Linked DNA regions of Oryctolagus cuniculus. The main gene of each other region encodes a partner of the protein of the gene in region 4 in a complex. Links are inferred from orthologs where the notes say so. Each region holds a gene or a part of one and is shown on either strand. Other genes may lie near its edges.

Evidence for each region. Proteins that work in one complex are often made in the same cells at the same time.
Region 1: MED25 (region 4) and MED8 share a complex: the UniProt entries of both Homo sapiens proteins name them as parts of the mediator complex. The link is inferred for Oryctolagus cuniculus from reciprocal best matches to the Homo sapiens genes MED25 and MED8.
Region 2: MED25 (region 4) and MED21 share a complex: the UniProt entries of both Homo sapiens proteins name them as parts of the mediator complex. The link is inferred for Oryctolagus cuniculus from reciprocal best matches to the Homo sapiens genes MED25 and MED21.
Region 3: MED25 (region 4) and MED19 share a complex: the UniProt entries of both Homo sapiens proteins name them as parts of the mediator complex. The link is inferred for Oryctolagus cuniculus from reciprocal best matches to the Homo sapiens genes MED25 and MED19.

The regions. Positions count from the first base shown.
Region 1 is NC_091438.1:129,632,385-129,640,074, reverse strand, and holds the start of MED8 (mediator of RNA polymerase II transcription subunit 8), read right to left. Parts: upstream 4,127-7,690; 5' UTR 4,019-4,126; coding exon 4,013-4,018; intron 2,764-4,012; exon of another isoform or gene 2,745-2,763; coding exon 2,626-2,744; intron 1,257-2,625; coding exon 1,112-1,256; intron 1-1,111. Other genes in the region: KICSTOR complex protein SZT2, read left to right, coding at 4,212-4,238. UniProt on the Homo sapiens protein: Component of the Mediator complex, a coactivator involved in the regulated transcription of nearly all RNA polymerase II-dependent genes.
Region 2 is NC_091440.1:124,252,502-124,260,027, reverse strand, and holds the start of MED21 (mediator of RNA polymerase II transcription subunit 21), read right to left. Parts: upstream 4,127-7,526; 5' UTR 3,926-4,126; coding exon 3,884-3,925; intron 1,509-3,883; coding exon 1,394-1,508; intron 537-1,393; coding exon 436-536; intron 1-435. UniProt on the Homo sapiens protein: Component of the Mediator complex, a coactivator involved in the regulated transcription of nearly all RNA polymerase II-dependent genes.
Region 3 is NC_091432.1:14,438,870-14,446,671, forward strand, and holds the start of MED19 (mediator of RNA polymerase II transcription subunit 19), read left to right. Parts: upstream 1-3,676; 5' UTR 3,677-3,759; coding exon 3,760-3,976; intron 3,977-7,802. Other genes in the region: TMX2 (thioredoxin-related transmembrane protein 2), read right to left, coding at 3,117-3,305. UniProt on the Homo sapiens protein: Component of the Mediator complex, a coactivator involved in the regulated transcription of nearly all RNA polymerase II-dependent genes.
Region 4 is NC_091449.1:7,730,326-7,737,327, forward strand, and holds part of MED25 (mediator of RNA polymerase II transcription subunit 25), read right to left. Parts: intron 2,264-7,002; coding exon 2,165-2,263; intron 2,011-2,164; coding exon 1,890-2,010; intron 1,068-1,889; coding exon 905-1,067; intron 796-904; coding exon 668-795; intron 501-667; coding exon 413-500; intron 327-412; coding exon 133-326; intron 1-132. UniProt on the Homo sapiens protein: Component of the Mediator complex, a coactivator involved in the regulated transcription of nearly all RNA polymerase II-dependent genes.

The sequences.
Region 1 (7,690 bases), on a different chromosome or scaffold from region 4:
GAAGAAGCTCCTGGCTCCTGGCTTCAGATTGGCCCAGCTCTGGCCATTGTGGCCATTTGGGGAGTGAACTGGTGAATGGAAGACCTGCCTGTCTCTCTCTGTCTCTACCTCTCTCTGTAACTCTTTCAAATAAATAAAATAAACCTTAAAAAGGAAGGAAGGAATGAGGGAAGAAAGAGTAGGTTACAGATAGAGATCTTCCATCTGCTGGTGAAAGGAAGGGAGGGAGGGAGGGAGGGAGGAAGGAAAGAAAGAGTGATTTACAGATCGAGAGAGACATCTTCCAACTGCTGTTTCACTCCCCAAATGGCCACCAATGGCCAGGGCTGGGCCAGGCTGAAGCCAAGAGCCAGGAGCTTCTTCTGAGTCTCCCACGTGGGTGCAAGGGCCCAAGCACTTGATAGGGACCATCTTCTACTGCTTTCCCAGGCACATTAGCAGGGAGCTGGATCAGAAGTGGAGCATGGGGCCAGCACCGTGGTATACGGGTGAAGCTGCTGCCTGCAATGCCAGCACCCCATATGGGTGCTGGTACAAGTCCCAGCTGCTCCACTTCCAATCCAGCTCTCTGCTATGGCCTAGGAAAGCAGTAGAAGATGGTTCAAAATTCTTGGGCCCCGGCACCCCCATGGGAGACCCGGAAGACGCTCCTGGCTCCTGGATTTGGACTGGCAGAGCTCCAGTGGTTGCAGCCATTTGGGGAGTGAACCTGCAGATGGAAAACCTCTCTCTCTCTCTCTCTCTCTGCCTCTCAAATAATTAAAATCTTTAAAAAAAAAATAAAAATAAAAAAGAAGTTGAGCAGCTGGGAATCGAAATGGAGCCCATAAGGGACACTAGCATTGCAGGCAGTGGCTTAACCTGCCAGGCCACAGTGCCAGCCCCAGAAAAGATCTTTGCCTTGGTAACACAGATCTTAGGTTATTACAGCACTATTTGGAAGCTGCTTCCCTACTCTAAGACAAAAGGCAAGGCCTCCAAAATATAGCCCTGCTTCTTACTGCCATGAACTACCCCACATTCAGAACTTCTAGAATAACCAATCGACAACCGTGCCCTAGGCTTTCACCTAAGAATGTAATTTCCCAAGTTTCCCCTTTTACTCTCTTACCATGAGATCTTCATCCCGGTCTGGGGATAACACCAGAGGGATGATGACCTGGTTGCGGAACAGCGGTGTCTTTTCATGCTTCAAGACCTTGTTCAGGGTGTTCAACTGTCCAGAAAGCAAGGCAAAGCTGTCCAGGACAGAGGGCCTAGTGGTGGTAAGAAAGTGTCAGAATGTTCTAGCCCTTCCCTGGGGTGTCTCCCAGTGAGATAACCTTTGACAAGTCCTCAGATTAGGAAAACTGAGACTGACCCCCAAAAGACTCATCCCCATCACGAGCCTCGGCAGGACCCAGACCTGGAACAGGAATGCGGGGTTAGGAAAGAGGGACACGCTTTCAGCTCCTGACGGAGGCAGAAAAAGGCAGTTCATTGTTTGAATGGGGTGAGAAACACTGGAAAACAGGAACCATGGCTATTCTATGACAAAAAAAATCAGAAACTGGGTGAAAGCCTCCTTTCTGCCGGGAAACAGGAGCCATACTTCAGCAGTAGGCTGGATCTAAAAGACAGCCACATTAGTGGCAAGAGATCCAGCATGGACTGAGATATAGTGGGAAGACCCACTGAGAGAGAACTCCTGACCAGAGATGAAAAGGGTAAGAATCAAAAGCGGCCAGCGCCACGGCTCACTAGGCTAATCCTCCACCTAGCGGTGCTGGCACACCGGGTTCTATCCCGGTCGGGGCACCGGATTCTGTCCCGGTTGCCCCTCTTCCAGGCTAACTCTCTGCTGTGGCCAGGGAGTGCAGTGGAGGATGGCCCAAGTGCTTGGGCCCTGCACCCCATGGGAGACCAGGAGAAGCAGCTGGCTCCTGCCATCGGATCAGCGTGGTGCGCCGGCCGCAGCGCACCAGCCGTGGCAGCCACTGGAGGGTGAACCAACGGCAAAAGGAAGACCTTTCTCTCTGTCTCTCTCTCTCACTATCCACTCTGCCTGTCAAAAAAAAAAAAAAAAAAAGAATCAAAAGCTAGAAAGAACGTGGCTGGGCCGGTGCCTTGGCTCACTTGGTTAATCCTCCACCTGCGGTGCCAGCATCCCATATGGGCACCAGGTTCTAGTCCCGGTTGCTCCTCTTCCGGTCCAGCTCTCTGCTGTGGCCCAGGAGGGCAGTGGAGGATGGCCCAAGTGCTTGGGCCCCTGCACCCGCAAGGGAGACCAGGAGAAGCACCTGGCTCCTAGCTTCGGATCAGCGCAGCGCCGGCTGTAGTGGCTGTTTGGGGAGTGAAGCAACGGAAGGAAGACCTTTCTGTCTCTCTCTGTCTATATCTCTACCTTTCAAATAAATAAAAATAAAATTAAAAAAAAAAAAGAAAGAAAGAAAGAACGTGGCTTGGGAAACTGGGCCGCTCTCTACTTCCTTGCCACGGAGGCCCTCAGCCAAACTTCACTTACTAAATGTTGGGAAACCAAGCTCTTTCCAAATTACCCGACATCTGCAAACTGATAAATGGTTACATCATCAGAGATGAACTACTCGTCAGGAGCCCTCCCCAGTTTGCCCTGGCAACCCTTACCAGGTTAGCCTGTCATACTCGTTCTCCAGCTTGTAAATGAAACTTCCCAGTGAGTTCTTCAGATCAGCCACTTGACTCAGCAGTGCATCTAATGACGCCTCCAACTGCTTCTCCTCCCTCTGCACCAACAGAGATGGGCTGGTTACCCAGAGAGATATGAGCATGACACCTTTAGAAGAAGGCTGAAAAGCGTCGGAGAGAGTATGCCAACCGCAGTTGGCTAACACCGGATCTCACTGGAATGACAGCCAGGTTATTTTCTATCTTTGGTATTTGGGTTACAGACAGCACCAACCCTTAGACCTTTCACCTGACCTTAAGTCCTCCTACCAACTGATTCTCGCTCTCACACCTCCAAATCCAGGCCTGCTTTTCCTCTGTATTGCACGTGCCCTACTCTCCCTTGTTGAGAAACTCCTGCCAGACATAATGCCTGGGATTCATCATCCTATGCACATTTCTGTGGCACGTGTGCCCTAGCTTCCTTCGTCCTAGAATCTGCCCTGTTCTTGTCAACAGCACAGCCCCTGCGAAATCTGCCTGGACATGAAGCTTTCTCTGAACCCTAGTTCTGCACGCCCCTGCCCCTCGCTCCTCATTCGTGCTTAGTGGGTGATGTTTCAACTTTCTCCTTTATTTCTGTGCCAATATTCCTGTGCCTCTTTCACAAGCTCAGCTGACCCAGAAGGACTTACTGAAACACTGCCCCATCCAAGAAGCAAAGCGACAAGTGAAAAGCAAAACCACCCACCCAGCTCACATGACAAGCAATGTCAAGTAGTGGGGGTCTGCAGGCATTCCCTTCCCACGGTGTGGGGGGGTATCTTCCGTTTTACTTCATTTCCTCCGTCTTAATAACTCTCAGGCACAGACTGGGAAAAATGATGCCAACCCCACACTGCGCCTGACAGGAGCATCATCTTGGGTTTCACCCAAGGTTTCAGTTGATAACAACTTAGCTTCTGGCCAGCTCGGCCCACAATTCCTTCACCCTTCGGGCTTCTCTCCGATTGCAGATTCGCCGTTACGTCTGCATCCAACAGCCTAGGCTGAGGCTTGAGCCAATTCATGTCTCTCTCGGGCCGTCTCCCTTGGATTGTATCTCGGCTTTCGCAAACTACATCCTGATGCTTTCCCAGCCCCAAACAAGCGGCGGCTGCCTCCGCCCTCCCGACTTTGCTAGTCTCTCCCCTGTCAGCGGACTCCGCCCCCACGTAGCATCCGCGCCGCTTCTCCACTTGGCCTCGTCTCCCCTCTGCCCTGGCCCCGCGTCCTCTTGCCTCCGCCCTCTCCTCTTCGGTCCAACTCCTAACTCTCCGCAGCCAGCCCACTCTCGCTGCGTTACCCAAAGACAGCTAGCTGCCACTAGGCCCACCCCGCTTCTCACCTGCATTGCGGCAGCCGTGGCAGCCGCAACCACTTCCTCTTCCGGTTTCCCAGTTTCTGAGGGTTTTGTCCACCAATCAAGGAAATCGGGGCTTGGCCCGCCCACCGACTTCCGGTTCCGGCCCGGTACTGAGGTAGCCAGGTCAGGGGTCACAGTGGATCTGCCTCACTGGCCCGGGCCGGCGCGGGAAGGCTGTGTGATGGCCTCGGAGCGCCCGGAGCCTGAGGTGAGGGGCGGGCGGGCGCAGAGCTGGGCCCTGAGACCCGAGCGGGAGGAGCGGGCGGTGCGGGCAGGCGCGACCTCGGCCTCCTGGCCGGCCGACGGCCGGGCCGCGTAGCGTCGGCAGGGACCCTTGCAGCCCCGCATCCCCGCAGTCCGTTCTTTCCTCCGGAGGCTGGAGGAGAAATGCTTCGCTCGCTCTGTTGTGCTTACTGAAATCTCTTCCGCGTCGCCGACTTGACCTAGTGACAGTGGTGTTAATAAACCCTGTGATTTGGTTCCTGTCGCGGTTTCAGTGCGCTGGACGGCAGCAGCCGGTGCGTGTCTTCAGACACGGGCGTGCAGTAAACAGCACGAGTTAATTTAGTTTTAGCACTCATGATGGGGAAAGCAGCTTTGGTTTTATTGGGGGGGGGGGGGGGCTTGGCTCGGAGTGAGACCCAGTTCGGATTTTAGCGCTGCTATTTAGCTCTCTCTGAAGCCTGGGGCAAGTCTTAACTTCCTGGATTCTGTTTCTTTGTTGTTAGTCTGTTGTGAGAATCACGTGTGTGAAGCCAGAAAAGGCTTAAGCTCTCTCTGTCAGATGCCAAGGACCATGCAAGCAACTTTACATACATTGTGTCATTCACGTTTGCACAATATCCATTCTCATTTTCAGAAAAGAAAACTGAAAAGTAAGATAGGTCAAGTGCTGTACATACGCCTGAGAGTAGCAGATTTTTGGAGTTAGAAAATCTGAGCATAAAATCCCAGATTTGGGTAGAGATGCCCAGCACTGTTGGAGAACATACCAACAGATGGGAACAGTGAGGAATGTGTGTAAGAATGCAAATAGGCCGGCGCCGCGGCTCACTAGGCGAGTCCTCCGCCTGCGGCGCTTGCACTCCAGGTTCTAGTCCCAGTTGGGGCGCTGGATTCTGTCCCGGTTGCTCCTCTTCCAGTCCAGCTCTCTGCTGTGGCTCGGGAAGGCAGTGGAGGATGGCCCAAGTGCTTGGGCCCTGCACCCGCCTGGGAGACCAGGAGAAAGCACCTGGCTCCTGGCTTCCGATTGGTGCAGCGCCGGCCGTAGCAGGCATTTGGGGGGTGAACCAACGGAAGGAAGACCTTTCTCTGTGTCTCTCTCACTGTCTAATTCTGCCTGTCAAAAAAAAAAAAAAATACAAATAGTATACCTTACCTGCATGCCGGCCGCCATTGTAAGCGGTTTACCAATGGCAGCTCATCCTCTCCACCCTTTTCAGTTAAGGAGACTGAGGCTCAGAGATGTTATGAGTAGCAAAGCTACACAGTATTAAATATTAGAGCTGGATTCCAAAATAGGTGGTCTGGCACTGCGGTTTTTTGTTTTTGTTTGTTTGTTTGTTTGTTTTTATTTTTGTTTTCTGATGCGGATGCAGGTGTCTGAGGCAGCAGCTTAAGCGGCTTCATCACAGCACCCACCACCAATTTTTAAAAAAAGATTCATTTATTTAGTTATTTATTTGAAAGGCAGAGTTAGAGAGAGAGGCAGAGAGAGAGAGAGATCTTCCATTTGCTGGTTCACTCTCCAAATGGCTGCAATGGCCAGAACTGGGCAGATCCGAAGCCAGGAGCCAGGAGCTTCTGCTGGGTCTCCCACACGGGTACAGGGGCCCAAGCACTTGGGCCATCTTCCACTGCCTTCCCAGGCCACAGCAGAGAGCTGGACTGGAAGTGGAGTAGTTGGGACTCAAACCAGCACTCATATGGGATGCCAGCACTACAGATGGTGGCTTTACTTGCTATGCCACAGCATCGGCCCTGGCTCTGTGTTCTTAACCTTTATGTTTATAGTATAAATAATAAAGTAGTCACAGGATAGCAACTCTCCAGTTTATTAGGATTTGGTGTGGTGAGACCCAACAATCAAAAACAGCTATGCTCTTTTTGCAAACAGTCAGACACTTATACAGAGGTGGTGGGACAGCCCATGCACTAGAAATAACAGTATTGAGAAAATCATGAAACAATTTGAAGTATGTTTTGTTATGGGTTAAAATGAGAGGAAATTGAGGAATGTTGCAAGTAGTCTAAAATAGTACTCTCCTGCCTTAATATAAGCCACATATGTAATTTAAAATTTCATAATAGCTACACAGTGAATTTAAAAAGCAGGTAAAATAATTTAGCATACAATTTCCAAAGTAGCATCATTTTAATGTGTAACAAATGTTTAAAAATGAGATATTTAACATCCTTTTTTTGTACCGTCTTTTTTTTTTTTTTAAGATTATTTGAGATGCAGAGTTTCTGACAGAGAGAGGAGAGACAGAGATCTTCCATCTACTAGTTCACTCCCACAAATGGCTGCAATGGTCAGAGCTGATCTGATCTGAAGCCAGGAGCCAGGAGCTTCTTCCAGGTCTCTCATGTGGGTGTAGGGGCCCAAGCACTTGGACCATCTTCTGCTGCTTTGCCAGGCCATAGCAGAGAGCTGGATTAGAAGAGGAGCAGCTGGGACACAGACTGAATGGGATGCCAGCAACCATAGGCAGAGGCTTAACCCACTATGCCACAGCACTGGGCCCTGAACCAAGTCTTTAAAATCCAGTGTGTACTTTACACTTAGAGCACATCTCATTTTGGGTTAGCAAAGTTCCAAGTGCTCAATGGTACGGGCTTGTGGGGAGCAACTCGGACTAGACTAAGTTACTGGAATTAAGACTTATTCTATGCATCTGCTCTCCCACAATATGGTGCGGAGAAGGGAGAAACAGCTTCTACATAGCTGCCTCCAGTTCAACCAATAAACTGTAGGACCTGCTCCTGATTGGAGGAGAGCAGCGTACTCGGCGTGTGGGTAGCAGAGTTGGGATTGGTGGAAGAGGACTATAAAGGAGGAGAGAGACAACGTGCACCAGGAACATCTAAGGGGAACATCTGAAGGAACACCTGTGCAGCCCCTGAGAGAGCCGGCTGGCGGTGTGCCGCTCCCCTGCGGAAGTGGGGAAAGTGGCCAGGGGGAACCGCCCTTCCACGGAGGTGGAAGGGACAGTAGCCAACCCGGGAAGAACCAGCAGCAAACCCGGGGAGGGCCGAGCAGACGAAAGAACAGCGCAGGGTCCTGTGTCGTTCCTCCACGAAGAGGGGGAGCGACATAATGGTGCCGTGACTCGGATATGAAGCCTAGGCAGGGTTTAGTGTCGTTCCTCCACGAAGAGGGGGAGTGACACGGGCTACCATATTGAACAGTACAGATAGAATGTAATTTCGAGTCACGCACACACACTCCTATGTCTCATTCAGCCAAAAGTTAAGCATCGGTTCAGTTTTTGATTTGCATTTCTGAAAATTTTATCTCAGAAGGTAAAGGTAGTGAGAAAAAGTTCTGCTCCTGGGCATGAGAAAGTGACTGGCTTCGGAAGTTATTAAATCCAGGAGAAAGATTGGGCACAGTCAGCTTTAGGAAATCATAGATTCATCAGATGCCTAGAATGCTTG
Region 2 (7,526 bases), on a different chromosome or scaffold from region 4:
GGGAGACCCGGAAGAAGCTCCTGGCTCCAGCCTGGTCCAGCTGTGATCATTTCGGAAGTGAACTAGAGTATGGAAAGTATGGGGACAGTGTTGTGAGATGCAGTTGGTTAAGCCACCTCCTGCAATGCCAGCATCCCACATGACTGCTTGGGCTCCTGTCACCCACATGGGAGACCCAGATGGAATTCCAGGCTCTTGGCTTCAGCCTGACCCAGGCCAGACTGTGGTGGCCATTTGGGGAGTGAACCAGTGAATGGAAGGTATCTCTGTCTCCGGCTCCCTCTCTGACTTTGTCTTTCAAGTAAATCCAAGAGTAAATCCTTAAAAATAATCATAAAATAGTTCTGAATATTACAATGAAAGTCAATAAATCTATCTCCTTCAATTCAAAATTCTCTGCTACCAGTAAAATTCTCTAAGAAAAAAGGTTGTTACCTGTAACGCAGCTGTGGATTCTTCACTGGGTAAAGAATCTATCAAAACATCAATATCTTTTGCTGTTCGTGCAATAAGTGCTGCAAAAAGCTGGGCATACTCTGCAGAAAGACTACTCAATTAGTATGAGAAAATCTCGGGTTTACACAAACAGAAAATTAGATTCAAGTTAATGAAACCAGGAAACTTCACCTAACTTTTTAATATTAGAATTCCAATGATCAAAGTGTTATTTTAATGAGTCAGTGTAGTGATGCACTGGGTTGAGCCACTAATCGTAATGCTGGCAACCCATGTCCCAGTGCTGGTTCAAGTCCTGGCTCCTCTGCTTCTGATCCTGCTCGCTGCTAATGTCCCTGGGATAGCAGCAGAAGATGGCCCAAGTACTTGGACCCCTACCACCCATGTGTGAGACCTGGATGGAGTTCCTGGCTCAGTCCCGGCCTTTATGTCCCTGTGGGGAATGAACCAGTAGATGGAAGGTATCTCTCATGCTCTCTGTCTCTCCCTCACTCTCTATCACTCTGCCTTTCAAATAGAAATATTTAAAAGAAAAAAATCAATTTCAAGGCACCAGTTCTGTTACATATTTAACTTAATACAGGCTCAGAGAATTAAGCCTAAGGCATGTTCACTTCATGTATTAGGATAATATGGAAGACACTAGAATCAATGAATCTGTACATGGGATGCCCTAATTATCAGGGTCCGTCAGTAAAGTTCAGCCAAATTCCTAATTCTCTCCAAGGGCACCAATCTGGTATGACACAAGAAGAATTATGGTATTATGCAAGTTAACTACAATAAATAATTTCTGGTATGACATACAAAACGTCCAGTAGTACCTCAGTAACATCTGTATAAAGAAGCAACAGAGTGAATTTCTAAATAAATCTAATTTAAAGGATTACACGAAGTCCGAGAATCAAATAAAGGGAAGCCAAGAAAAGCTGTTTACCTTCGGTGGGATTAGCAGGCTGGTCTTTGTTAATGGCTGTCTGAATGTTGTTAAAAGAGGCAGGAGGCCCACCCTGCTGCAGCACTCCAATGGCGTTACAGAACTGATCTGCAAGCTTGGGCCAGAGAAAACAGGTCAGGATTATACAAAGTTTATCAAGTCTAAAGCTTTTGCTGGTAATGGCAACAAGTTTCCCAAAACAATGCTCTCTGAGCAGGGGAGTGAATCAGAAAGGAGTAATTTCGGATAAAACAAGCCAGTGTGTTAACAATGATTAGATATTTCAACCATGCAAATAAACTTAGTATCAACCTAGGTGGTGTTGATATCAATCTAGATGAGACAGTAAAAATGGAATTAAAAGATCAATATATTTTTATGCAAAAAAATTTTGCAGCCCATGCAAACTTGTATCATCTTTCTTGTCTTCTGAAGCTAACAGAATGATAAAGACAATTTTGTGCCAATATTACAGGCAACGAGACTTTCCACGTATGGCCCCAGATTTAATTTAAAAAAGTGTTACTCATATACAATTCCTTTTCTGAGATCTCAGTGTTCACAAGGCAAAGAAATAGGGGAAATAAGGTGCCTTTTCTAATGCAGTGCTAAGGCTCGCGTTGTTAAAGTATTCCTTCAGCAGCTCTCAAGACTGAGAAACCAGTGCCTTACCATCTTCAACCAGGGACCACAGCTCCCCACCAATCCTCTCACTAGGCCTGACCTCTCAGACCTCAAGTCCTATTTCCCATCAGTGAGGAAGCATTTCCACCGCCCTTCTCCGCCATGACTGCAATGGCCGGACTCGAAGTCACCTGCTCCCCGGATAAGTATCTAACTGGTCTTGAGAGCGTCCTAGCCAACCAGTCTCATTCCAGAGCCTCATGCCTTCCAGCTTCCTATCCCGCGGATGGTTCATTCTCCCCCTTCTGTTCCATCACTTACCTCCTGCCAGAATTACTGCAATCGCGCCCTCACTGTTCTCTGGTTACCCATCGTATTCCCCCCTGCACAAAAACCGCCGGCTCACTCCACTGCGGTCAGCAAGCGGTTTCCAACTTTTCAATAATAATCTCAGCCAGCTCTTCCTAAACATTTTTCACATTTTACTCCCTCACAGTTACTCGCTAGTTATCAGTTTGCTGGTTTGCTATTTGCAATGGAGGGGGAAGAGCTTGGAAGCTATATAAACCTAGATTCTAATCCTGGTTTGATTAACCGGACAAACAGCGGAAACGCACAAAAAACCCTTCAACACAGTGGCTATCTGTACTGTCCCTCACAAGCTTTCAAGATCCATTTAGACGTTCATTCAACAAACAGTGATTGAAAAAAACTCCACGGCAAGAAACGAACATAAACCTAACAGCCGTAACACAAATATGGTGAACACGACATGAATAATTACGATTACGATAATTCAGTATTTCAGGGCGCATGGCTCCATATTCCAATTTACTCAGCACTGACAGCTGAAAACACCGCATTCATTCTAACTCCCTAACCCCATAGTGTTTTTACATCATTTAAACGTCCCCTGAGTATGTGACATCATCCTTATGCCCTTCAGGCTGTCCCTTTGGAACTACGATTGGGCTCCGACACAGCAGGCGCTCATGGCGTACCCTGAAGGCTTCTCTGGAGACCCCAGCTACCAGCAGGCCTCCCCCTGGGGGAGAGGCCACACTCCCTCCGCCCTGCCTCGCCTCCAGGGGCCAGGCCACGAAGGAAGGCTTCCATCCAGCACCAGCATGTGTAGAAGCTCCCCGAGGGCCTGGCAGGATGTCACCCACACTCGGTGGCTGCCCGCTCAGCCTCGCAAGCTCCCGCGCTGTTCACAGCACGCTGGCGCTCTGCAAGCGCTCGGCTCGTCAGCTTCAAGGGCTGGGGGGTGAACAATCACAGTGCCCGCCCAGGCACCCGCCCGGGGACAGCAGCCCCAGCAGGCAGGGCAGCCAGCGGCCGCTCCAAGCCCAGGGCCTAGGGCTCGCACGCACTCTCAGGTGCAAAGCATCGCCAGGGACAACGCCAGGGGAGCCGCTTCTCAAACCCAGGGACCTCAACGCCCGACACAAGGTTCACAAGCTTCCAGACGTCAGCTCTCGCCATCCCCGCCTGAGGGAGCGAACACAACTTCTCCAGGCGCCACCGCTCCTGCTCCCGCCCCTCGAAGTACCGGAGCCCGGCTAAGGCGTCGCACCGAGACGCAGTCTCCAGGGCCCCGGGGCCGAGGTATACGCAGAGAACCGCGTCTGCTTTCTTCTCCTCCCGCCCCCAGCACCAGTGTCCGGCGAGCCCCGTGAGGCCGCCGCCGGGCAAAGGGGCTGCTCCCTCCGCGGCCCCCGCGGCCGGCCTCGAACGCCCCGAATTCGCAGAGGCACCGCCTCCATCTGCTCGCCACCGCCGAAGGCTGCGTCTCGGGCCTCTTCTCCTCCCCCGTTTTACCTCAGGAATGAGGCAGACCGCAAGTAAGCGAATTAAAGCGCCTACCGAGTTCACGGCGTCTTGCAGCTGTGTGAGGCGGTCCGCCATGTTCCTCCCGCACGCAGAGACGCTGCAGCAGCTGCTCCTACGCGATTGGCCAGCTTTCGTACGGGTCACGGCCAATCAGAGTGCGGCTCTCCGGAAGGGGTGGGGTCATGGAGGACACGCCCCGCGAGGAGGGGCGGGTGCCGGGGAGAACGCCGGGTGAGCTACCTGGACCTGCAGCGGCTGGGGCCCGGCATCCTTTGCGCGACTGGGCTCCCTTTCAGGTTGTGAGGTGGTCAGCTGTTTACCGAGATCGTTGAATTCTGTGGGATTATTTAGTGGTTTGTCCTACTTTCCCATGTATTTAAAAATTTATTTATATATTGTCATTTTATTAGAGAGGCAGATTAAGTTCTATCTGCTGATTGATTTTCCAAGTGCCTGCAGCAACTAGGGGCTGAGCCTGGCCAAAGCCAGAGCCTGGAACTCAGTGCAGGTCTCCCACCTGGGAACCACTCCAGCTATAACCTGCTGCCTATCTGGTGCTCACTAGCAGAAGCTAAAATCAGGAGCAGAGCTGGGATTCGAACTCAAGCCCTGTGATGCAGCTGTCCCAAGCAGTGCCTTAGCCACCATGCCACACACCCACCGCCTGCCCAGGGCTACCCCAGTAATCCAGTGGATTAATCCACTCAGAAGGGCCGAGTCACCTTTCCCTATCACTGCCCTGCACAGCTCAGAAACTGTCAACTGACTCATCTCTACTTGCACATCTCAAAGGCACCTGATGTAGTTCAGGTTTGCTGTCACATGCCAGAGAGAGATGCAGTTCCCTAGCTATCCTGGACTGCTCGGGACCCTACTGCAGGAGCAAGGCCGGCGCAGGCGGGTCACAGAGTATCCACACCTCACCTTTTGCTTCATGTTAACACTAAGAGCTCCACCCCAGGGGGAGTGTGAGCTGTGCTGCCGTATGGTGCAGCCAGTGTTGGAGCATTCTTCCAAACTGTACCTTCATGGACCTGTACCCACCCCCAGGTGTGATCAGAACCTCCCTCTTACCTGCTCATCTTTCCCTCTCCCCTGCTCACAGAGTCACGGCTTTGGAAATGACTCCTTGTGGTCTCCTTGTCTGCTGCAGATATATGACTTGGTGTGACAGCTCCTTCTGGTGCATTCCTTAGATGCATGAATGCGGCAGACACATTCAAAGCATGGCAGTGGGGGAGACAGTCCTTGGGGAACTCAGCTTGCAGGACTGAGCCCGGCCCTTTCTGGGAAGCCCCACCTCTGCGTCAATAGACCTGACCTGCTGGGGGAACCACACAGGTGAGACACTTCCCATATCATGGTACCAATGCCAAGTGACTCTCATTTGCTTTAACTGTAGTTTGGAGCAGTCTGTAGCTTTCTTGTACCAGTTGAGAGTATACCGTACCGAATGTTGCACCGTGCCATGGAAGCTGCGTTTGCAAGGGGCAAAAGGTCAGGGACTTGCTAGGAGTTCTACACTTGCCCAAATGTGAGATGAATAGGGCCTGAACTAGAGTGTTGACCTTGATAAAAGCAGAAGTAAAGACTAGAACCCATCTAGGTCTCCCACGTGGGTGCAGGGGTCCAAGCACTTGGGCCATCTTCCGCTGCTTTTCCCAGGCCATTAGCAGAGAGCTTTGTCAGAAGTGGATCAGCGGGACTCCAACCATTGGTCATGTGGGATGTTGGTGTTGCTGGTGGTGCAGGTGCCACAATCCGCTGTGCCACCACTCTGGCCACAGCCTCTTTTCAGAGCCAGTGTTTGTAACCAATCATGTTGTAAAGAATGTTGACGGGGATGGCGCTGTGGCGTAGCAGGTAAAGCCACTGCCTGAAGTGTTGACATCACATATGGGCACCAGTTCCTGTCTGAGCTGCTCCACTTCCAATCCAGCTCTCTGCTATGGCTTGGAAAAACAGCAGAAGATGGCCCAAGTCCTTAGCATCCTGAACCTACCTGGGAGACTGGGAAGAAGCTCCTGGCTCCTGGCTTCAGATCAGTGCAGCTCCAGCCATTGCAGATGGAGTGAACCAGCAGATAGAAGACCTCTCTCTCTCTCTCTCTGCCTCTCTGTAACACTGCCTTTCAAATAAATAAATAAATACTTTAAAAAAAAAAGGAAGAAGAAGAATGTTGTCTCCAGCCCATGAGGAATTCACCCTCCACTTACCTAAAGCCCGCAATTTTGGGCCAAGCCATTGTATCTTCTGTCGTGGATGGTTATGTTCCAACCAGAATTTGACCACACTGGGACACTTCCCAAGACTCATTCAGTCACTGGGCTTGTGTCTCCCTGGCCTGCTCACTCATATTGTCCCGAGTCAGCCCTGTATGAATCACTTTACAGAGCCTGCTTTGTTCCTGTCAATGCTCTGACATCCTGCGACCCCCACCCCGCTCCTTGGCTGCACATCCCCACTTCTCCATGCTGCATTCAGACTTGAGTCCAAGCTCTCCTCCACTCTGCAAGACCCTGTTGTGGTGCTGGTACCTATCTTGGTAGGCCTGGGTAAAGACTTCCTCACCATGCTTTAACAGTATCATTGAATAGCTTTTTCTGTAACAACCAGCTTCTGTACCAATCAATTGGCTACAGCTTAATTGACTAATTGTTTACAGCTTCATGTGTTAAACTGACTACAGGGCCTTCTACAGCCACTCAACAATGACTTACTGTGGTTAAACTTGATAACTGAGTAGGTCAACCAGTTCAGGTACCCCATGCGAATCCCTGGCCTTCAACAAAATCTTACTTAGCACATGTACATTTCATGAATGTGTAGAGTCCATGTAGATGTGCTTCTCTTGCACGTGCCCCACCCCACCACGAGCTGAATGACATGTGGTTTTAAGAGGAGGGACCCAGTATTATATGTCTCATCTTTTAAACAGCTAATGTGGGTAAGTACTTTCTTTTAAACTTTATATTATTAAAAGTTTCAAACATACACAAGAGTAGTGAACCTTCATGTAGGTATCACCCAGTTCAACAATTATCAACTCAAAACCAATGTCATCATTAGTACTTTTTTTTAACAATCTATTTAATTTGAAAGGCAGAGTGACAGAGCTAGAGAGACACACACAGAGAGAGAGATTACTTTTATCCACTGTTTCACTCCCTAAATGCCCTTAGCAACTAGGGCAGGGGCAGACTGAAATCAGGAGCTAGAAACTCCATCTGTGTCTCCCACAGAGGTGTCGGGGACCCAAGTACCTGAGCCATGATCTACTGCCTTCCCAGGTGCATTAGCAGGAAGACAGATCAGAAGCAGAGCAGGCGGGATGTGAACCGGCACTCCAGTATGTACGTAGGCATCCCAAGCAGCTGCCTAACCCTCTGTGCCGCAACACCCACCCCCAGTACTTTGGTTTTTTAATCTATAGTAACTCTAGTTTTTCGGAAAAAAAATCATTATTTTTAACTTGGTGTCTTAACCCCTTAACTACCTTTTTTACCTGTTGAGCACTAGGCTGCATCACTGTAGAAGAGCATTGGCTGTGCTGATCCTGCTGTTCTGTTGCACACTTCAGTGCACACTACACCAAACACACATAATTCTCTTTCTCGCCTCCACCTCCCTCTCCACTTTGTTCCCTTGGTGATTGTCTACTTGGGCTTCCAACCTT
Region 3 (7,802 bases), on a different chromosome or scaffold from region 4:
AGTCCTGGCTGCTCCACTTCCAGTCAGCTCCCTGATAATGCTCCAGGGAAAGCAGTAACGGAGGCCACCGTGGGAGACCCAGAAGGCGCTCCAGGCTCCTGGCTCCTGGCTCCTGATTGTACCAGCTCTAGCCATTGTGGCCATTTGGGGAGTGAACCAGTGGATAAAAGACCTCCCTCTTTCTCTGTAACTCTGCCTTTCAAATAAAAAAAATAAAAAAATAAAATAAAAAAAACACCAAAGATTTGTTTGTTTATTTGAAGGCAGAGTTACACAGAGGCAGAGGCAGATCTTCCATCTGCGGGTTCACTCCCCAAACGGCCAATAGGCCAGACCTGGTTAGGAGCCAGGAGCCTGGAGCTTCTTCCAGGACTCCCACATGGGTTGCAGGGGCCCAAGGATTTGGGCCCTCTTCACTGCTTTTCCCAGGCCATCAGCAGGGAGCTGGATCAGAAATGGAACAGCCAGGACTTGAACCAATGACCATATGGGATGCTGCACATCGCTGGTTTTGCTGCCCCTCCCATATTTCTTGTAAAGTGGTAGTGAAATCTAGAGGCATAAATACAATGAAATCCAAATTTTTAGGCAAAAACACATCACACTTGGTTCTATGTGGTCCCCACTGTGTGGCTGCAGGAAATGTGTTTACCTGTCACCTGATGTAAAGTTTTAGCATCCACAAATGATCATTGCCTAGATGTATTACTTTGAGTTCTAAAAAATGATTTTAATACTATCATTTCATCTGCATTTCCTAACTAAAATTCCATCAATAAAATTCCCTTTTCAATTACTTGGTTATTACAAAACACAGTGCATATAGGAAAAGAACAAGAAATATTCACTTTATCTAATGGAATAGAAATAAACCTTTACTTTGTTAAGCTACTAAAATCTTGAGGTTTAGCTGTTACTGCTGTTTTATGTTATTACCTTATTCCCTGACTCTCCAATCACCAAGGTAAATCAGTAAACTGAATTTTCCAGGAAAATGAAAACTACTTATTAACTCTAAATGAATTTTTTAAACACCATAATAAAAATCTAGAAAACTTTCAGTACTTTGTATATTAGACAAAAGGATATAGAGGGATGAAGATTGCCTACATTTCTTGAAACCTTTATTTCTACCTATATTTTTTTAAAGATGTATTTATTTTATTTATTTGAAAGTGAGAGTAACACAGAGAGGAGAGGCAGAGAGAGAGAGAGAGAGAGAGATCTTCCATCCGATGGTTCACTCCCCAGATGGCCGCAACGGCCAGAGCTGCACCGATCCAAAGCCAGAAGGCAGGAGCTTCTTCCGGGTCTCCCAAGCAGGTGCAGGGGCCCAGGGACTTGGGCCATCTTCTACTGCTTTCCCAGGCCACAGCAGAGAGCTGGATTGGAAGTGGAGCAGCCGGGTCTCAAACAGGCGCCCATATGGGATGCTGGTGCTTCATGCTAGGGCGTTAACCCGCTGTACCACAGTGCCGGCCCCTACCTACTTATATTTTTGAGTCTCACTTTCCTTAAAGTAGTGTCAAGTATCAGAAAAAAAAAAAAAAGGATCCTTTGACATAGCATGGCTACATTTGATTAATCACTGATCCTGCCTGGGAAAGGGCGGAGGAAGCAGGAAACAAACAAGGGAAGGAGGGGTAAGGGAAGGGGATGGGTTCTGGTAAATCCAAGACAAATGTGGGTAGCTGGGAAAAAGAGGAAAATTCTTTATGTCGGTCCTCCATCAGAACACAGATGCTGGGGGCCAGTTGTGGCGTAGCGGGTAAAAGCCACTGCCTGCAGTACCAGCACCTCATATGGCCACTGGTTCAAGTCCCAGCTGCTCCTCTTCTTTTTTTTTTTTTTTTTTTTTTTTTGACAGGCAGAGTGGACAGTGAGAGAGAGAGACAGAGAGAAAGGTCTTCCTTTGCCGTTGGTTCACCCTCCAATGGCCGCCGCGGCCGGCGCACCGCGCTGATCCGATGGCAGGAGCCAGGAGCCAGGTGCTTCTCCTGGTCTCCCATGGGGTGCAGAGCCCAAGCACTTGGGCCATCCTCCACTGCACTCCCGGGCCACAGCAGAGCTGGCCTGGAAGAGGGGCAACCGGGACAGAATCCGGCGCCCCGACCGGGACTAGAACCCGGTGTGCCGGCGCCGCTAGGCGGCCAGCTGCTCCTCTTCTGATCCAGCTCTCTGCTGTGGCCTGGGAAGGCAGTTGAAGATGGCCGAAGTCCTTGGGCCCCTGCACCCTTGTGGGAGACCAGGAGGAAGCTCCTGGCTTCGCACCAGTGTAGCTCTGGCCGCTGCGGCCAATTGGGGAGTGAACAGCAGATGAAAGACCTCCCTCTGTGTAATTCTGACTTTCAAATAAATGACTCTTAAAAAAAAAAAAAAAAAGGCAAAACAAAACAAAAAAAACCACAGATGCTGCTACCCAGGAGAGGGCTAAACTCTTTTTTTTTTTTTTTTTTTTAATAAGCGGTCTCAAAACTACTGAGGAAGCACCGCAGGCGGCCTGGCACGTATTTTATTTTATTTTTCTCCAATTCCTTTTCAGGTTTTATTCAATTTTGCATCCCACATCCGGGTGCAGCACAGTACTTAGCACACAGTGTGCTCAATGAAGAGATGGCTGACAGAACGAGCAAGTCCCAATGGCCGGAAAAGTCGCTGTAAAGGCCCAGGCACTCCAGTCGTGTGACCCCGGGCGCGTCGGCTGCCCACGCGCAGGCCGGTTTCTTCAAGCAGGAAACCGGACTACGACCACTACCCGCCTCGTCGCCCCCCGCCCCAGGCTCCTCGGGAGGCTTTGCACAATGAGCAGTACTGCAGAACGCCACACAGGTGCCGAGTTTGGGCACGGCTGTCTACTGGCAGGAACAGCGAGGCGTCAGGAAGCCCGGACTGGGGCTGTCGTGCAGGGGCTACCAGGCACCGCCTCCGTTTTCCCATCGTAAACACTTCGTTTAGATGCGATGACAGTCTGCGCCCTACACCCTTCAGCAGTCTGCAAGCCCGCTAGAGGCTGGGAACCTCAAGTGTCCTTAGGAAGGTGAAACTCGGGACTCCACATGCACCCGCAGGGGCAGGGACAGTCAAGGTCGCGGGGTTCTGAGCCCTAGAGCGCTCACCCAGTCAAAGTCACACGGGTTGCCGTCTTCGCGTTGGGTGGGGAGTCCATGGCAGAGCGGTGGCAATTTCCTCACGAGCAGGAAGGCAGCAGAGAGCAGGGCAGACAGAAGGTAGTAAGGCCTGGCCAGCCATCGTGAAAGTCGCGGCACCGAATACACCAGAGCAATCAAAGGCGCTAAGACCGCCATGTTTCCAGGTCCTGCGGCGCCCGCCGCTCACCGGCGTCCGTAAATCTGGGCCCGCCTCCCACCCCATTGAGCGTTCTATTGGCCCAACTACCAGAAGAACCGCCTCTAGACCCGGAAGTAGATTTCTCATTGGATGCCGCCGTAATTCCGAGTTGAAAAGTGGAGTTGACCGGTTTACTGGCCAATCTAGTTGTCGCTTTTTCTACCAAGGTCATTTTATTGGATATGTGTTTATGGCCCGCGGAAGTGACCCAGAAGAATTCAATCAGGTTAGATAGCACTTCCTGAACGTTTTCAGAAAGCGACGGAAGTTGTTGCCAGAAAAAGGTAGGTGGAGCCACAGATATCCAATGATAAGCTTTCTTTACAGGAAGAGGGCGGTACCCCGTGAAAGGATTGTCCAATGATAGTCATCAACGCCAGACACTGAGGCAGCGCCGGTGCGGAGGGGACGATGGAGAATTTCACGGCGCTGTTCGGGGCTCAAGCTGACCCACCACCTCCCCCAGCCGCACTAGGCTTCGGACCAGGAAAGCCTCCACCCCCGCCCCCGCCGCCGCCGGGCGGGGGACCCGGCACAGCGCCGCCTCCCACGGCGGCCACCGCTCCTCCCGGCACAGACAAGTCAGTGGCTGGTTGTGGCCCCTTCTATCTAATGCGGGAACTGCCTGGTGAGTACTAGGCCTGGCCGAAGCTAACCAGTCCAATGCTGAAGAGGTGAGGGCGTGGCTGTTGGCCGGCTGCTGGAGGTGCAGAGGCTGCACGGACCCGGGCCGTGGAGCTGGAACTTGCAAGAGCTGCGAAGATTCGCAGCCACAGGGATGATTGGGTTCGTGGGATGGATTGGGAGGAGGTGGGTGTGTGTCTCTGGGTCTGGGCTGTGCCCCTGACACTGGCTTCTCCAGGGTCATGGAGATCGGAACTCAAATGATATGCCTAGGGAACCGAGGTTTTTTAGTTTCAGTCCGCCTCAGGCTGGCTGTTGGTTTGGGGGTAAGTTTCTTCATCTATTCAAAGACGGGATTAGAAGGACACGAAATTATTTCATATCAAATTTATGTGGTTTGTTCTGCATGCTGGAGCTACAGCTGTGAACCAGACTGGCAAGATCTTTGTCCTTTTTGCCATTGGAGACAGCGTAAGCAAGATAGCATCAGATAGTGATTAATGCTGGATGAAAACGTGATCAAGAGTTGAGGTGGAGGCAGGCGTTGTGGTGCGGTAGGTTAAGCCACGGCTTGGAACGCCCGCATCCCATATTGGATTGAGTCCTAACCCTGTGTACACCCTGGATGGCAGCGGACGATGGCACGTCCCTGGATTCCTACCGCTGTCAGGGGAGACCTGTGTGGAGCTCCAGACTCAGTCGCGGCTGTTGCAGGCATCTGCGGAGTGGGCCAGCAGATGCAAGATTTCATCCTGTGCCTTTCAAATAAAATAATTTTTAAAATGTGGAAAAACTGAATTAAAAGATGTTCACTTTTAGAAAATGGACATAACTGTTGCTAGATGATCAGAGTTAACAGAGAGGAGAGGCAGAGAGAGAGAGAGAGGTCTTCCATCCTCTGGGTCACTCCCCAGATGGCCACAACAGCTGGGGCTGGGCTGATCCGAAGCCAGGAGCCAGGAGCTTCTTCCGGGTCTCCCACATGGGTACAAGAGCCCGAGGCCGTGGGCCATCTTCTGCTGCTTTCCCAGGCCACAGCAGAGAACTGGATCAGAAGAGGAGCAGCTGAGACTCAAACTGGTGCCCATTTGGGATGCCGGCACTGCCGGTTGCGGCTTTACCTGCTATGCCACAGTGCCGGACCCTAGTGCTTTTTCTTAAACTATAGTTTTCCTTTTATTTGAAATGCAGAGAGACAACCACCAGCAGTTTCTTTAAGCTTTTTTCACTTACTCTGATTGTGCTTGTTTCTGTCAGCCCGTTGGCAGATACTTGGTATCTGTTCTTGGTAAATGCTCTATGTGCAGGAACAATGATGTGTTGAAAGGGGGAAAGAGATGTCAGGTCTGGGCCTTACTTCCTAATTTTTACTTTATTTGAAAGCCAGGGAGAGACGCAGAGAGACATTCCATCTGCTGGTTCACTCCCCAAATGCCCCCAACAGCCAGGGCTGGGCCAGGCCAAAGCCAGGAGTTGGGAACTTGATCCAGGTCTCCTTTGTGGCTGGCAGGAATCGAGTCCTTGCCGTCATCTGCTGCCTGGCAGCCTGCATCCTAGCTGGAGGTTGGAGCAGAAGCAAAGGAGCCGGCACGGAACCCAGCCACTCTAGTATGGGATACGGGCATCCCAAGCAGTGTCGTGACGACTGCTGCAAATGCCCACCCTTGGTCCTTGGTTTATAAGAAGACTATTTTAGTTAGTTAGGGAAGCACAGTATGTGGTTTGTGGATAAACAAGTGACTGTTTCTCATCGATACCAGTCTCATTACTTTGCAGTCATGCCTTAAATACTGCACAGCTAACAGTATCTTAGTGAACAGCATTAACTCCTTGATGGTTTTCAAAATGTGGTGTATCCATGATGACAGCAAGAAATTAGATGTCACTTGAGCTGGACTGTGAAGAATTCACATTGGTTGGGGAAAAAAAAAAAAAAACAACAGATTTTTCCTAAAAGGAAACAATATAAGAGGGAATGCCTATTTTTTTTTCTCATAAGTGTGGAGACTCATTTGAATGGATCAGAAATTTTACCAAAAAGAAAGAAATTTTACCTTTGGGGAAGTAGTGGCTGATGAAGCCCAGAGCTAAGTTGGATGCAGTCAGATGTGAATAACCCTGGATGCCTGAGGAACGGGTGCTTTCTCCCGAGAGTAACAGGAAACCTGAAGGTTTTTGAACTCAGAAGTCCTGCTTTCTAAAACATCTCAAGAATGGCGGTGCCATGATTGAAATGAAGAAGCCATAAGTGACATGGGCAAGAATTTGAATTAAAAAAAATTGAATCTGCATGAAATTTACTGCAAAGAAGGTTCATTCAGGAGAGGAGTCAGAGCTGGGGAGAAAGATTTATAAATTAACTACAAAGCAATAGTCAAAAACAGGAAGTTAGAGTTTAGAAAAAGCACAGTACCTTCTCCCTGACCTTCAGCAAAACCACCTGGGAGGAAGATAACTGGCAGAGAGGAGGGAACATCAGAAAGCAGTAGCAAGCAGCAGTGCCAGTTACAGAGCTGCTGCTGTTACAGACTACTCTTCTGACACATCTGGCAGTGCCGGGAAAGAAACGGATGCAGTAAGGCCTAGGGGCAGTCAGGAAAAGCACCTTAATACTGAGCACTAGCAACACGTGAACAGAGCGTTGTCTGCCTTCAAGAAGCCCACAGTTCAGAGCCCGAGTTTTCCCAGTTATCATTTTGCTCATGGTACCCTGGGTGTCCATCATAATTACAGATGAAGTTGTGGGTTAGATATTTTCACCCTTACCATAAATTTAGATTATTTATACTTTTCAGTATGTTTTCATTTAAATCTTGAAAAAAAAATGAAGTTTACTTAAGATAGCTATTATTGCATTCCACAGATAACAAGAAACTAAGGCATGGAGAACAGCACTAGAATTCTAGTTGTCCAGCCAATTTCTAACTACAGATTTCTTCTTTGTCTGCAAAGCATTATACTCAGTAACATTAGGGAGAATAAAGATGTTGGTAACCAAAGTTAAGCAACAGTAGCTAGAAAAATCTCCTTGCTGTTTTTCTATATAACTATGATGAGTGTTTTTTGATTGTTAAAGAGAAAAAACAGGGGCTGACACTGTGGCATAGTGGGTAAAGCTACCACCTGCAGTGCTGGCATCCCATAAGGGTGCCCGTTCAAGTCTTGGCTGTTCCACTTCTGATCCAGCTCTCTGCCATGGCCTGGGAAAGCAGTGGGAAATGGCCCAGCTCCTTGGGCCCCTGCCCCATGTGGGAGAACCAGTGGAAGCTCCTGGCTTTGGATCAGCTCAACTCCTGCCATTGCGGCCATTTAGGGAGTGAATCAGCTGAAGGAAGACCTCTCTCTGCAATTCCATCTTTTCAAATAAGATTTTAAAGAGTTACACAAAGAGCGAAGGAGAGGCAGAGAGAGAGAGAGAGGTCTTCCATCATCTACTGGCTCACTCCCCAAGTGCCTGCAACAGTCAGAGCTCCGCTGATCAGGAGCCAGGAGCTTCCAGGTCTACCACACAAGTGCAGGGGCCCAAGGATTTGAGCCATCTTCCACTGCTTTCCCAGGCCCTAGAAAAGCACTGGATTGGAAGTGGAGCAGCTGGGACTCGAACCAGTGCCGATATGGGATGATGGCACTGCAGGCGGTGACCCCAAAATAAATCTTTAAAAAAAAAAAAAAAAAAGGCCAGCGCCACTGCTCACTTGGCTAATCCTCCGCCTGCGGCGCCGGCGCACAGGGTTCTAGTCCCAGTTGGGGCACCGGATTCTAGTCCTGGTTGCTCCTCTTCCAGTCCAGCTCTCTGCTGTGGCCTGGGAGGGCAGTGGAGGATGGCCCAA
Region 4 (7,002 bases):
AGAGCAGCTGTGACCGTCGAGCCACAAGCCTCCCGCCCCCCTGGGTGCTTCTAGGAGGGCCAATCACTCGTCCCCTACACTGCATGGCTCCGGCAGCCAGGAGGGAGCGGGATGGGGGCACCAGGCACCTACCATGGACGGTGCCCCGGGCTGGGCAGAGGGCGCCAGGCCCGCGCCAGGGGCCACAGTGGAGACCAGGCTAGGCTGGGAAGCAGGCGGTGGCTTGGGGGCACCAGGGGGTCCTGGAGGGAGTGGGGGCGCAGCGGCCTGGCTGAAGGGGGCACCCACTCCCGAGGCAGCTTGCTGGAGAGGGTTGATGGGCGAGACTGCAGGAGAGAGCGAGGGCGTGGTGGGCGCAGGGCCGCGCTGAGGCCTGCCCGCAGCCCACGTCCATGGCGGCCCCAGGACTCACAGCGGGGGCCCAGGCCAGCCTTCTGGTTCTTGGCGGCCTCCACGGCGTTCTGGGCGGCGACCTGAGCTGCACTCAGGTTCCCAGGGACCTGGGGGCAGAGGGGAGCGGCTGGTGGGGGCTGTGAACGCCATGGGGCGCACCCCCACAGCCCCACGAGGCAGACGCCAGCCTCTTAACACCCCGGGGCAGCGGCCACCACCCCCAGCCCCGATGTCGGAGGACGCCCTCCCTGAGGCCCAGGAGTGACACCCGTACCTGGTACTGCGGCGGCACGGGCGGCAGAGGCTGCTGGGGGGCTGCGAGTGCGGCACCCGAGGACGGAGCAGGAGGCAGCGGGACCGGCTGTTTTGGCTGCAGGGGGCCTGGCGCCGAGCCACCCCCAACTGGGAGCCAACAGGAGGGGTTCAGGATGGAGAGGACCAAATCCAAACCCAGGTCAGAGAGAGGCGGCAGCAGAGAGCCCAGCCCCCACCCCGCGGGCACCGGGCTCACCAGGCAGCACGAGGCCCCGCACCAGCACCATGTGCCTCGGGTCCTGGCTCACGTCGGCCGGCGGCTGCAGCGGCTCCAGCAAGGACGGGGGCGCCGCCTTCTCAAACAGAAGCCGCAGCGCAGGCAGCTTGCGGGGGGACACGACGGAGAAGTGGATTCCCTGCTGTGGGGGGACAGGACGGGAAGTGGGTGCCCTGCTGTGGGGGACAGGACGGGAAGTGGGTGCCCTGCTGTGGGGGACAGGATGGGAAGTGGGTGCCCTGCTGTGGGGGGACAAGATGGGAAGTGGGTGCCCTGCTGTGGGGGGACAGGACGGGAAATGGGTGCCCTGCTGTGGGGGGGGGACAGGACGGGAAGTGGGTGCCCTGCTGTGGGGGACATGATGGGAAGTGGGTGCCCTGCTGTAGGGGGACAAGATGGGAAGTGGGTGCCCTGCTGTGGGGGACACAACGGGAAGTGAGTGCCCTGCTGCGGGGGGACACGATGGGAAGTGGGTGCCCTGCTGCGGGGGGGGGACACAACGGGAAGTGGGGGCCCTGCTGGGGGGGACAGGACGGGAAGTGGGGGCTCTGCTGTGGGGGGGGACACGACGGGAAGTGGGGGTCCTACTGCGGGGGGACAGGAAGTGGGTGCCCTGCTGTGGGGGGACACGACGGGAAGTGGGGGCCCTGCTGTGGGGACAGGATGGGAAGTGGGTGCCCTGCTGTGGGGGGACAGGACGGGAAGTGGGTGCCCTGCTGCAGGGGGGGACAGGATGGGAAGTGGGGGCCCTGCTGGGGGGGGACAGGACGGGAAGTGGGGGCCCTGCTGTGGGGGGGATACGACAGGAAGTGGGTGCCCTGATGTAGGGCAGAGCAGAGCAGAGCAGGGGGGACGCGGGGCCAGCCCCGGGTGCCCACACCTGACAGGCCTTAACCACAGTTCTCACTGGCCGAGGCAGGGACGGCAGACTCGGGGAGCTGCCCAGGGCACTCTGGGTCCTCACCTCCCCAATCTTCTGCACCAGGCTGTCGGTCGTGCAGCCCGAGTACGTGGTGCTCTCCACGGCGGGCAGCAGGTACGGGGGGGAGTTGCAGATCAGCAGGCACACGCGGTGCGTCTGGCCGCTGCAGGTCAAGAAAGGCATGGAGCAGCCACCACGGGGCCTTGAGGAGGCCGCAGACCCCGACCCCAGCTGCCTGCCCCACGCCCCCACCACAGACCACGTGGTCCCGGGCCAGCTGGCACGAGCCCGGCCCAGGCCGCGCGAGGGGCACTCACATCTGCTCCCGCATCTTCTTGAAGTCGTCGAACAGCTGCAGGGCTGTGCTGAGGCCTTCGGCGATGAGGCTGCAGCTCTCACCGCCCCCGCCCATGAACCTGCCGGAGGTCAGGGGTCAGCCAACGTGCCCCTCGCCCCCCCGCCGGCCTGTGTTCCCTGCACTGTCCCCGCAGTGGGCACAGCACCAGGCCAAGGGCGTGGACGGGGCACCTGTGCTGTCCTGATCCTGGGATGACCCTGTCCACACTCCACACCCCTGGCCATCTAGTCCATCTTTAAAGCCAGCCCTGGGCTCACCTCACCTTCCCAGCAGGTAGAGGGACCCCTTTGTCTCCCAGCACCTGGTGGGTTTGAGTGTCTCCCTCTCCCCAAATAAAACAAGCTGAGATCCTGCCCCTAGTACCTCAAAATGTGACCCGACTGTAAATGGGATCTTTAAAAACTTTTTTAAATTTTACTTGAAAAGCACCCCCACAACACACACACAGGCGGTGATACTCCTCCTAACCGTGCGTTCACTCCCCTCCCCAAATGCCTGCAACAGCCAGGGCTGGGCAAAGCCAGAGCCAGCAGCTGGGAGCTGCACGCAGGGCAAACGTGGGTGGCAGGGGTCCAGGCACCCGAGCTCCACCTGCTGCCTCCGGGCGCTGGGCAGCGGACGCTGCGTCCCAGGCAGGGCATCACCCACGGTGCCCCTCGCCCACCTGGAAACACGCGTTCTCCCCAGGTGATCGAGTTAAACAGGTCACCAGGGGACAGCAGGGCAGACCCTGGGGTGTTAGGCAGGAAGTCAGTTATGAGCTTACGTGTGTGTGCCAAAGGCCTCCCGAGAAAACTTCTACGTTCAGCATATGCATCTGCATCTCAAAGTCATCCTGATGGTGTTACAGGGGCAGCCCGGTATTCGCATCTTCACATCCTGCCCTGCCCCCTTCTACCTGATGACCTGCCAGGTGGAGATTCCCCCCGACTTCCGCCTGACAAATCCTCCACAGTCTCCCAGGTGCAGCCCAGTACCTGCATCTCAAACACCCTGCTCCGGATCCCCATTCTCCAGGGGGTCCTGCTCACCCTTCCTCTGAACCCAGGATGGCGCCAGCTGGGCTTCCTCCTGTCTGATACCTTCAGGGGAAAACTCAGATAGGAGCTTCTTAATATTTACAGCCATAAAATCCTTTGATTCAGGAGGAGATGTGTGAAGACAGAGACCCATCTCCTTAACCCTCCCCCCCCCCCGCCCCCAGCCTCAACCGGACTGCGCGCTCAGCCCTCTGCCTCTCTGCTGAGCCGCCCGCCTGGTCTGGTCAGGTGTACTCTCTCCACTCAACCATGTAACATCCCCCCCCCCCCCCCCCCAGTCCGAGCGACTGCACTCTTTCCCAGGTCCTGTCTGGAGAGGTGCCCATCCATCCTCACGGATGTCCCTTCCCTAATAAACCTTGCTATTTTACTATTTTACCTCCCACTGCTCTCTGTCTCACGCCTGAATTCTTTCTTGCGCGAAGACAAGAACCCTGCAATTTCTCCGGTAACAGGGGAAGACGGCGCCAGCCGAGGGAGCTGTGTGATGACGGGGGCGACACAAGCCAGGGGCATCTGGGACGACCAGAAGCCGGGAAAGGAAACCAAGCCTCGCCCATTGGCCCCCAGAGAGAGGCCTGGCCGGCGCCTGGAACCCAGACTTGCGGCCTTCCAACCTGCAGCCGATCTGTGTCTGCTCAGGCACTCAGCACTCCGCGGGTGCGGCCCAGGGAAAACACCCAGGCACAGGCACAGGCACGCTCGCACTCGGCCGCTCCTGTGGGGAGGGGGCAGGGCCTGCTGCAGGGCTGTGGGTGACCCTGTGCCTGGCCCACGCAAGTTAGCCTCACTGCGGGCAGGCAGCAGCAGCCCCAGGCCCGTTCCCCCACCCCAGCCTCCTGCGGAAGAGCCCGGAACTGCCCATCAGGTAAACAGCCCCCGGGCGCGGCCCAGGCCCATCAGGAAGGCTGCAGGACCTTCAAGCTGGTTGAGAAGCAGAGCGCGCCAACGGCGGCCTTACCCTCTAGCGCTGGTGTTGCCCTGAATTAGCCACGCCCCCCGCCTGCCCTTTTCTATCTCATGCTTGATCGTCAATAAGCAGACTTGTTCACCAAAACCGGTCTCTGGCGCTTCTTGCAGAACGCCGTCAACCCACCATCCCGGCAGTGTGGACCTTGCAGGACGAGCCCACACACGGGCGGGTCCAAGCCCTCTCACCACCAGCCTGTGCACCTGGGGGCCTTGGAAAACGTGTCTTCAACAAACGGATGGCCACATCCATTAGGGCGGGAGCAGACCCAAGCCCCCGCCGGGCACCTGCACCCCCTGGGCCTGGTCCACCATCACTGGCCTCTCTGGACATGCTCCAAGGGGCAGTCCACGGTCACCTGGACCGAGACGAGACGAGACGGCGGCTGCCAGGGCACCGTGAACTGCCAAAACGCCCGAGGTCAACACCGCTCCTTGTTTGGAACAAAGAGCCCGCTGGCCCGAGACCTGCTCACCCGCGGCCCACGAGTGCTCTCCCAGCCTCCGTCCACTCCCTGGAAAAGCCTGGTGAACCCCTCAGCTCCCTCTCCCTCTTATAAAGCCCTCACTCTCCTGTGTATTTCTTCTCTCACTGAATAAATGCTAAAACCATTAAAAAAAAAAGTCCGAGGGCCACAGTGAAAGGCTAAACTTTGAAATCCTAAAACTTGCTCTTTCTTCTGAATGAACACAAACAGAACTCAGAGAGAAAAACAAACATTCTGTCAGAGATGAGCAACGCTTCTACTGGGGAACAGAAACAAACACTGCCGGTCACAGGACACAGCTTCCCCACGGAGCTGGCACCGGCACCTGCGACACCGGCATCGCATACGGGGCCCGGCTGCTCCGCTGCCCATCCAGCTCCCTGCTGGCGCGCCTGGGGCAGCAGCAGGCGACGACCTGAGTGCTTGGGCCCTGCACCCACGTGGGAGACCCGGACGGAGCTCCTGCCGCCTGGCTTGTGGTCATTTGGGGAGGAAGAGGCAGATGAATGATCCCTGTCCCTCTCTCTCTGCCTTTTAAATAAATAAATCTTTTTTAAAAAATTGAAAAAAACAAAAATAAAAGGGTCTTGGACAACGTAGGCATCACACCCTCAAGTCTCCCCCCCCAACCCGCAAGGGTCAAAGGCCACAGGAGGGAGCACGCACAGCGCACAGCCGGCAGCCCACGAGGGCTCCCCTCGCCAGCCCCTCGCCCCAGCCCACATCCGCGCCAGGACGAGGGCCTTGCGTCCTGTGCCCACGGACGTTGACTGAACACGGGGTCACGACGCGGGAGAGAAGATGCGGGGGTCTCCCGTCCCCCTGCTGCGGAGAAGCCCAACCCCTGTAGGACGGAGCGCAACGTGAGAACCAGTCTGTCCAGGCAAGGGCTGCACGCCCGGCCCTGAGCGCCTGCCAGCCGGGGAGGAGAGAAGACTCCTCCAGGCGGCACAGAGCCTGCTTGCCTGGGGCTGCCGTGTCTCTCCCTGGCCAAGGTCACGGGCACAGACTCCGAGGGTGACACAGGCCTGATGAACACGGCAGACTCCAGTGCTCACTGGCCGACTGGCAGGGAACACAGGCTCCAGGGCCGGGTGTCCTGAGTGACAGGGAGGGGGGTGGGACCAAGGGTTCAGAAAGCAGCTCCTCCGGTGCCCCAGGCTCCAGCAGGAGGTCTGAAGGGGCCGACCCGACCCGACGTTTAAACCCCCGGAGAGCGGAGGATCAGCTCTCACCCACGGGTTTATTCAGCCGAGCTCTCTCGAGGCCCCGGGCGCTCCCTCCTGGAGGTGTGGGCCATGATGGCCTCACACAGAGACGCGGCTTGTGTGGATGTGATCTGGGCATGCACTCAACACCCTTGCTCAGGCTTCCCAGGGACCAGGCCCTGCTCGGACACGAGGCGTGGCCTCAGGCTCCAGGAGCCCCCGAGAACAGGGGTCTGCCCACGAGAGGCCCCAGCAGTTCCGAGGCAGACATCAAGGGGGAAGCCACCGGGCTCCAGCGAGCAGAGAGCGGGGCCACCAGCGGGCGGCCCGGCCGACAGAGCCAGAGTGCAGAGTGCCAACAGGCCTGCTTAGGCAGGGACGCGGGCATTTGGGGAGTGAACCAGCAGATACTCTCTCCCATTCTTTCAAATAAATAAATAAATAAAACCTTTAAAAATGTGCCTCAGTACAAGAACACTCTTGAAATCTGTGCAGTTTTCCACAATGTGCATTTCCACGAAGTTTTTTGCGTGGATTTCAGAACTGCTTTGCCTCAAAGTAAGAACCTTCTAATTCCACCCCCCCCCCCCGCGGCCTTTCTGAAGTGTCCTTGGACCTGACAGGCACCATTTTAAATCCGCATCAACTCACTCAGTTTTCAAAAGGGCCCCCCCCCCGCCCCCGCCTCCCGCTCTGCACAGTCCAGGGCGGCCCCTCCCCCACCGCACCTCCCGGCCGCGGCAGCGCGGGCACCGGTCCGGCCCGTCGAGCAGCCCGCGCAGAGGCCTCGTGGCTGCCGGCCAGCAAGGACTGCGGCCCGCCAGGAGCACCTCCCCGGGCCGACACCCCGACCGCGCCTCCTCTGAGACCCGAGCTGCCTCGCCCGCTGCTGCTGCCCAAATGCGGGAGCCCAGAACCTGCCGAGAATCAGGTTTGCGGTGTTAGGTTTGGAGCTGGCCTGTTACGCAACCAGGGATAACACAACAAAAACCTCACACAGGAAACAGGCGTGTGGCTCAGAGGTTCAAGATTCCGGATAAGGGGGCTGGGCCTCCGCCTGCGGCACCGGCATCCCACAGGGACACCGGCTCA